Linked DNA regions of Drosophila melanogaster. The protein of the gene in region 2 interacts with the protein of the main gene of each other region in a pairwise test. Each region holds a gene or a part of one and is shown on either strand. Other genes may lie near its edges.

Region 1 (3,294 bases), on a different chromosome or scaffold from region 2:
ATATTAGTAACTTGCCAGCAAATGGTATTAAAAATACTACCTGAACGGGACACGTAACTCAAGACTATTCTATATAGAGTTTAAAACTCTTGGGACATTTTTTTGAGATCTTTTTGAAACCTTTAAAATTTTTTTTGCTGTGCAGCTACAGATTCAACTCCCCAGGTCCAGCTAAGCGCTGGCTAAGAGAGGAGATGCCTGAGCACACTGTCCAGGACCAGGTCCCTCCTTTAACAGGTCCTAACTATGCAAAGCCATGAAACGCAAGTGTCGCAGGGATTATTCATGGACGGGGAATGAAGATGAAGCGGCCAGCGGGCTGTCAGTGACAGGTAAACGGAGAAAAGGGAAACGGAAGGACACGAAGCAGGAAAAGTCGAGGGGGAAAAAAGATTCCTAGGGATAGGATTTAAGAGAGGAGCACATTACTTAAGGCTAATTTCATTGCTGGAAATTCAACTATTCAATCTCGGAGAGGTGTAATAAAACATTTTGTATTTGCTTTCGCGATAAATATTTATTTTCCAGAATAGTGCGATAATAATTGCATATGAGTGAAACATGTAAAGTTTAAAACAGTCCAAATTAAAAAGTCTTTTTGACGCCTTGGCCGGAACAATGGATGTTGCTTGTCTTATTCTGCCTCTGAGTCTTATGCCAATCCATGATAAAGTCTTTGTTGATCTGGGCGACCCTCTCCAAATAGGCGACACTGCCCATGTCGCTGTCCAAAGCCAGGATTTCGCAATAAAGCGAGCTCAGCTTTATATTGCAACGTTCTACGGCGTCAGACAATTCGACTTCTCTGATTTCCGTCTCGTCTAGGAAATGCAATTTAACTTTCTCCTGATTGGTCACAAAACGAGTCCCTGCACCGGGCTTTTTGATCTCCGAATGCAAATCCAGCAGATACTTCTTAAGCTCTTGCAACGCTGCCATTTTCAGAAGAAGTCTGTCCTTTATGACTTTAAGTGCCTTGCGACATTGCTCTGCAGACACTTCCTGGCGTTTGATTAATTCAGCAATAGAGACATTGGAGTTTTTAGGTTCGGACATGAAAACCTTTATACTGTAAATGGGACGGATATTGTGCAGAGTTATGTTCGGTAAGTCCTTGCAGCTGATTAAGTCTGTAAAGTCGAGCATATTGTCGTTATCCATTCTAATTGATATCAAATTTTAACTTATTTTTCTAGCGGTTTATTTTAATAATTTAAATTTATACGAAGTTTCTCAGAAAGCAATATATGCAATGACTACTTTCCAAAAAAATGCTTTGCTATGTGATCGTTTAATTTCCCTTGTTAATTTCGTATATATAACCAATTTTAAGTTTCCTTTTTTCATGTTTCGTCATCAGCAAACGATGAATTTCTATGGATTCACTTTTAAACTTTTTATCCATCGCAATTTTATTTCATTTTTATTTGCGCTTTTTGCGATTTTTATATGCACTAAAAGTCAATTTATTCACTTGACTTAATTTGATTTCAACCTTCAAATAATCCAATAGAGTTTTTGTGCAGTCGTCCTTCACGGTTGCACCTTGAAAAAGGAGTTATTTCTGTTTTGCTGAAAGGATTGTTTACTTAAATGATTGTCAATTTATAAAAAAGTAGGGATCATGATAAAATAAATAATTCGACAACGATTGTTTAAATGTATATTATCTCATACATGTTTTGATTGCATTCTGTGAACAAAAAATTGTTCCGAAAAGCTAAATTAAATTACCTGTTCATCCTTGTATAATATTACTCATACGCAGTGGATGCCCGGGCCATTGATTTAAATTCAAGAAACTCACGAGCAACAGAAGTTCGAGAGAAGCTGCCGCAATCTCAACTGCCTCATTGTTAACCCGCACTCAATTTCGATTCCCAATATGCTCCACATAACCGAGAGTAGGGCTCGATTCTCTATGCCGGTAATCGTACGTGTGGAAAAGACGTCAGCACTGATTGCTGCATAAATGATTGAGCATGTGTGGTTGTGTGCGCCTGTCTTTCAATCCACATCGATGTGTGCGCTTGTGTAGGGCTGGAATGACTTGCCACAGACGAATCCCACTCACTATCAGCATTCCTCCATGCAACAGGACCTGCATCCCAGCGAAAAGGATGGGGTTGCATTATATGAAAATTGATGGGAAATGCCAAAATATTTAAATCTAATTTTGTGCCAGGCTGACAGGCAGCCAGCATTCGCCGAAGCCGCAGGCATTGCATTTGATTTTGATTCCCGTCCAGTTTTGCCAGCGTATTTGGCGACTTTTGCCCTGGCGAGCATTTAAATATTCAATACGATTATATTTTTAAACACGTAGCCTGGGGAAAAAAAGCCCTGACTGAACGACGGTGAAGAGTCAAATGGAAAAGGAAACTTTATTCAAAAGAAAAAATAAGAGAATATTCCTTGATGAAATAGGATTTTTTCTTTTGGAGTCGATTTTCATTTAACCCGATCAGATTTATTTTCATTTTAAATTGCAGTGAATATAGTTCTTTATGGTGCTAAAGATAATTTTTTATGCACGCTCAAAGTCCTTTAAGAAAAATGTTAATCCCAAGCAAATGAAAAATGAAATGACTTCAAAATTACTTGTCATTTTTGTTACATCAATGAGTGTGGCGAGTAAACAAAACTAAGCAATTTATATTATGAGTGTTAATAAAATATTTATAATATTTTATAAAATCTATGGTTATATTTTAAATAATATGTATCATATATATAAAAGGAAGCCTTAAGCTTTCCAGCCATATTAGTGGGAAACGTGTCCACCATTCACGGTCAACCATTTCCTTACGTTTGCTTCCTGACGCGCTTGAACAGAACTTAAAATAGAATTTAAATACCGGCAAATTGTCTGCCTTGGCACCTGTCTGCCCATTCTGCCCAGGACACCCATTGTCATCCCAAGACCCCCGCCCAACACCATTTTTCGGCCATCCAGCCAGCCAACCGTCCAACGATCCAGCGTCATTCGCATTTGCTATTTCCGTTTTGCACGGCCGTGTTGCTGTGTTGGCATTTCATTTAGCGCACAACTTCACATTTGCCTCAGTCGTTGTCTTTCTGCTGCCTTTTCCCATCGCTTGCAATTGCCATTTCCGCTTCCTGAAATTTGCCATTCGTTACACACAGAAGGACACGCCGACACACATACACAGACAGGCACACATACACACACGTGCGAAAAGGGAAGCACTGAAACCGAAACTTAAACAGAAACAGAAGCAGAAAGCCGCTCCCCGCATGCACCGACATTTTCATTTCCATGCTTGGGCGCAT
Region 2 (4,548 bases):
AGGCTCTTTTAATCAAAGCCATACTTGCTCCAACGTGGAGTTATGCCATCCAGGTGTGGGGAACTGCCGCCAAATCCCAGCTCAATAGGCTCCGTGTCGTCTAGTCGAGAGCTGCACGTCGTGCTTTTGGGCTCCCCTGGTACGTGACAAACAAGGTAATCGAAAGAGATCTGAAAGTTACCCCTCTTGGGGATCAGATTAATTTTCACAGCAGCCGTTATGCCGACAGGCTTATGGTCCACCCGAACCGACTAGCAAATAGCCTATCTAATCCCATCTCCCTCCGAAGGCTGAAGAGGGTACACCCCACCGATCTCCCTACACCCTTACACAATAAGTAATTAATAACTAGATACATTTTCCCTTTTGTACTTAATAATTAAGAAACCACTTGGTCTAATATACCTTTATACACACATAAGGTTAAGTTCAGAGGAATTGACCGAACGATTCCTTTTGGAACCAAAATAAATAGAATGAAGTTTAAAAAAAAAAAAATATATTGTTATATATATACAAAATTGGAGGGAAAAAGTCTCTTTAAAGACACTTCATGTTCCACCTGTTTCCAATTTATCCTGTTTTATCGACCCTTTAATGATCTCAGAATTCCATGTCTGACTTCTGTCTCAAAAAATAGTAGCCAACAATAAAAAATGAGATTGAGACAAACCTGTTGATATGCGTTGGGACCATTTTATTTATTATATTATATGTATGTTACATTGTTAAATTGCGTTTGGAAAAATGCCTACATAATACTTTGACACTCCTTTCGGTCGTTCTTATATTATTCTAGCCTGAGATGGTTTCATACATCAAAAGTGAAGTCTTTAGTTTTTATAGTTGTATTCAAATATTTTTGGGCGCCACTGATTACATAGGACAACTTAAATAACTAATTTTTTCTGAATCACAAGAACAGACATTATTTGCCGTCTCTAACATAGTTAAGCGTTTTTTTTTAAACTATATTATATTAAGGCTCACAGAGCAAAAAATGTGAAATAGTATAAGCAACTTACAAGTAAATGCGAAAGAATTGACGTGCGGTCAGCTTCTTGTTGCATATTGGGCACTTGTGCGTAGCTCTGATGGCTGTTTCGATGCATTCGCGGCAGAAGACGTGTCCACATTTGGTTGACACTGGCTCGCGCTTCGATACACTGTCCATGCAGATGGGGCACTTGTATAACTCCTCTTTTTGGGACTCATCAATGTCGCGATTAACGCGTTTTGGTGGCGACGCAACGTCGAGATCCACTACCGGGTCATTTTCGGCTGACCGACGTGGCAGAATGGTGAGGGAGTCGTTGGAGTGAAGATTCACTGTGCGACTTCTTGGGCCTTCGGGGGTGCATAGATCGATGAAAGCATCGGGATCACGATTCCGAGCGGATCGAACAGGTGGTGCACGGTCCAAATGGGACAGATCTATCACTTCTACTGGACTCGCTACGGAAAAAGTAAGAAACGGTATTCGGTTTATTGCTAGCTCTATCCGCGAAAGCTATCTGGTTTTCACAAAATTTTAAAAAATATAGATAAATTTTGCCTTCAAAAGTAAGTAACCCGGCAGGGTTATAGAAAGAACTATGTCATTGGTTATTGTGGAATTAAAAACATTGTTCATTGTGAAACCCAGATGCGTTCATTTTGATCTGCACTTACTTCTGCGGCGAATTCTACGAGTTGTTGGCGTTGAGGTTCTCGTGGCGAAGGTGTCAATCTGTGCCACAACTTCCTCGCAGTAGCGATTCACTGAAATATGAAACAATTAACAGAAAACTTCGTAATGATTATGGAGTGACATACTGCGATCCAACTCTGCTTCCATCTGGATCACATCCTGGGTAAGTGATCTGATCTGCGAATGAGCATCTTCAGTCGAGACAGACAAGTTAGCCATATTTAAGGGGTTATTGCTTTGCGGTGACTGCAGTTGGTTTGAAGCTTCTCCGACTGAAGATTCGCTGGTATTGGTGGCTGAAGATGAGTCTGATTCCACAGATAAATCACGCTCCACTGGGGATGGGCGTTCCAAGGACGAATGGGAATCAGCGGATGAATCAGATTCCGCGGATGACTGAGATTCCACGGATGTATTGTGTCCCGAATTGGATTCTATGGATGAATGGGAGTCCACAGAAGAGTCGGATACACTGGAATTGGAGCTCGAACTGGATACGTTGCTGTCCGCTGACTGATCAAGAATGGATGAGTTCTACTAAATAAATCAATCATAAATCGGAATTAACTAGTTTAAAGTCCAGGGTATACTTACAAAACGGAAAATAGTCGAATCTGACATTGTTCGAGCAACAAATGACCAGGAAACTTGTGAAATGATTTCGTAGTAAAGACAAAAGCAGGTGAACCCAGATATACATGTGCTTTAGTGCAGATTGAAATGTGCAAAATAGTTTCCTCCTTTCACGCGACCATTCGGTTATTTTAAAGATGACACTTTACGGACATTCGGGAACAAGGATTTAAGATCGACTATCGATTTTTGCGGTATTATACAATGCTGTTTAGAATGACACTTGTAATTCAATAAAAATCAATAATTTATTAAAAATAAAATTTCCGTTTCGGCGAAATTCTTTGATAACAAAATAATTATAAGAAATGTATATAAATATGTCGACATTACAAAACCATACCATCACTATGTAAACGATATTTTTTAGGCGATTAAATGCCATCGATATATACCGTGCCGTGGTAGTGTTAGAAAATTGCGGGAATTAACGTTAAATGCACGTCACCAAAGCAGAATAATAGAATATTTTCGAAACAAAACAAAGTTGGAGACATGGACAAGGATGCGTTTACATTACAGGCCATACGGCAGGACCTTATCGATAACAATCTGCAGGCTAAGGCAATAATACACGTAAGTCTCCGCTATCTGAAGAGAAACCCTCATTACCGAGCTTCTGTTTTTAGGACATCCTGAACAGCCGCACCTCCATCGCCGAACTCGAGGAGCTGAACGAAGCGGGCCGCTCCAAACTGTCTGCTATCCGCAAAAGCATCGAGCGGCTGGACGACTGGGCGCGGGACACGGCAGACTCTGCGCTGGCCAATGAAGTGGACGACCACCGTGATCAGTTCTCCAAAACGCTGCAGGCGTTCCGAAAAGCAAACGTGTCCACGATGCTGGAGATCGAGAAGGCCAATCGGGAGGAGTTAATGGCCATTACCGGCGAGAGTGAGCTACGCCAACGAACCACAACACGGGCGCGGCACAACCAGGGCAGTCTGGTTTCGCAGGAGAACGACGTGACCGAGAAGATGCTGGCTATATCGCGGCACCTCTCGGAGACCACCCAGAAGAGCGCCATCACCCTGGAAACGCTCGTGGCCTCGTCGCAAAATGTGGAGGCCACCAGCGACGAACTGCACCACACGGCCGGCAGCATTAGCATGTCCGGCAAGCTGCTCAAAAAGTACGGACGACGCGAGTGCACTGACAAAATGCTGCTCTTCTTCGCCTTCTCCTTGTTCCTCGCCTGTGTCTTTTACATCGTCCAAAAGCGACTCTTCTAAGACTCCACAAATGGACAAAACCCGTTCCCAAAATAGCTTAAGGTTGTCGCTTCTGTTGTCTAGGTATAGCTAGATTAAGCTTAGCACATGACCATACCTTGTAAGCACAGCTCCTATATTTATATTATTTAGTGATTTGCCTAAGTTGTAAACGTGGTACAGCCAAAGACCCTAGAATAACAAGATGCGTAACGCCATACGATTTTTTGGCACACGATTTTTTGGCCGTGGCTCTAGAGGTGGCTCCAGGCTCTCTCGAATTTTTGTTAGAGAGCGAGAGAGCGAAGAGCGCTACAGCGAACAGCTCTTTTCAACGCACAAAGTGATAGCAGACATCTGTATGTGTGCACACGTATTCACATGCATTGTAAATTTGACAAAATATGCCCTTCACCTTAGAAGTTCTTTGGCTTTAAATCTATATTATTTTTTATCAATTGGCACCATGCGAAAAATTCTTGTTTTGCATTGCCTTAACGTTATTATTATTTGAAAATAGATTAGAAATAGTCAAATCTATGTACATATTATCACAAAAATAAATTTCAAAAATGAATTTATATAAGAATATTTGTCATTAGAGTATTCATCTTGCGGCGTGTGAAAAATTAATAAGGCAATGATTGTTGAGTGCTTGTGTCCGCACTTCGTGCCTCAAGATATGAACAAAGCAAAGACACTAGAATAATTCTATTGTCTTTGATATTACTTTTGCAATTTAATTTAATTGCATATTTAATTATTTAGTATATTTATTAAATCATTTGACTTAATATGATGTAACATTAACATTAAAAGTGTTTCAAAAAAAATATTTCGGTTTTAAAAAATTGTCAGATGAGAGACAAATTAGAATTAAACATAAATACAAATGTGTAAACGGTAGCTAATTCGAGCGGCGATTTTAACAAAGAAATTTAAAAAAGCTTTAAAATTATAATAGCCAGGGCGCGAATTTTTAAAAATTTTTTATTTTATCATATTGCTAGGAAA

What was found. The genes of interacting proteins can lie anywhere in the genome.
Region 1: the proteins of dgrn (region 2) and CG15124 interact in a two-hybrid assay, tested with the Drosophila melanogaster proteins (2 studies listed by BioGRID).

Annotation. Positions count from the first base shown.
Region 1 is NT_033778.4:19,640,905-19,644,198, reverse strand, and holds CG15124 (uncharacterized protein), read right to left. Parts: upstream 1,253-3,294; 5' UTR 1,162-1,252; coding exon 586-1,161; 3' UTR 501-585; downstream 1-500.
Region 2 is NT_033777.3:5,822,712-5,827,259, reverse strand, and holds dgrn (degringolade), read right to left. Parts: upstream 2,646-4,548; 5' UTR 2,312-2,645; coding exon 2,285-2,311; intron 2,228-2,284; exon of another isoform or gene 2,225-2,227; coding exon 1,816-2,224; intron 1,762-1,815; coding exon 1,672-1,761; intron 1,456-1,671; coding exon 1,022-1,455; 3' UTR 684-1,021; downstream 1-683. Other genes in the region: Sec20 (secretory 20), read left to right, coding at 2,819-2,899, 2,953-3,555.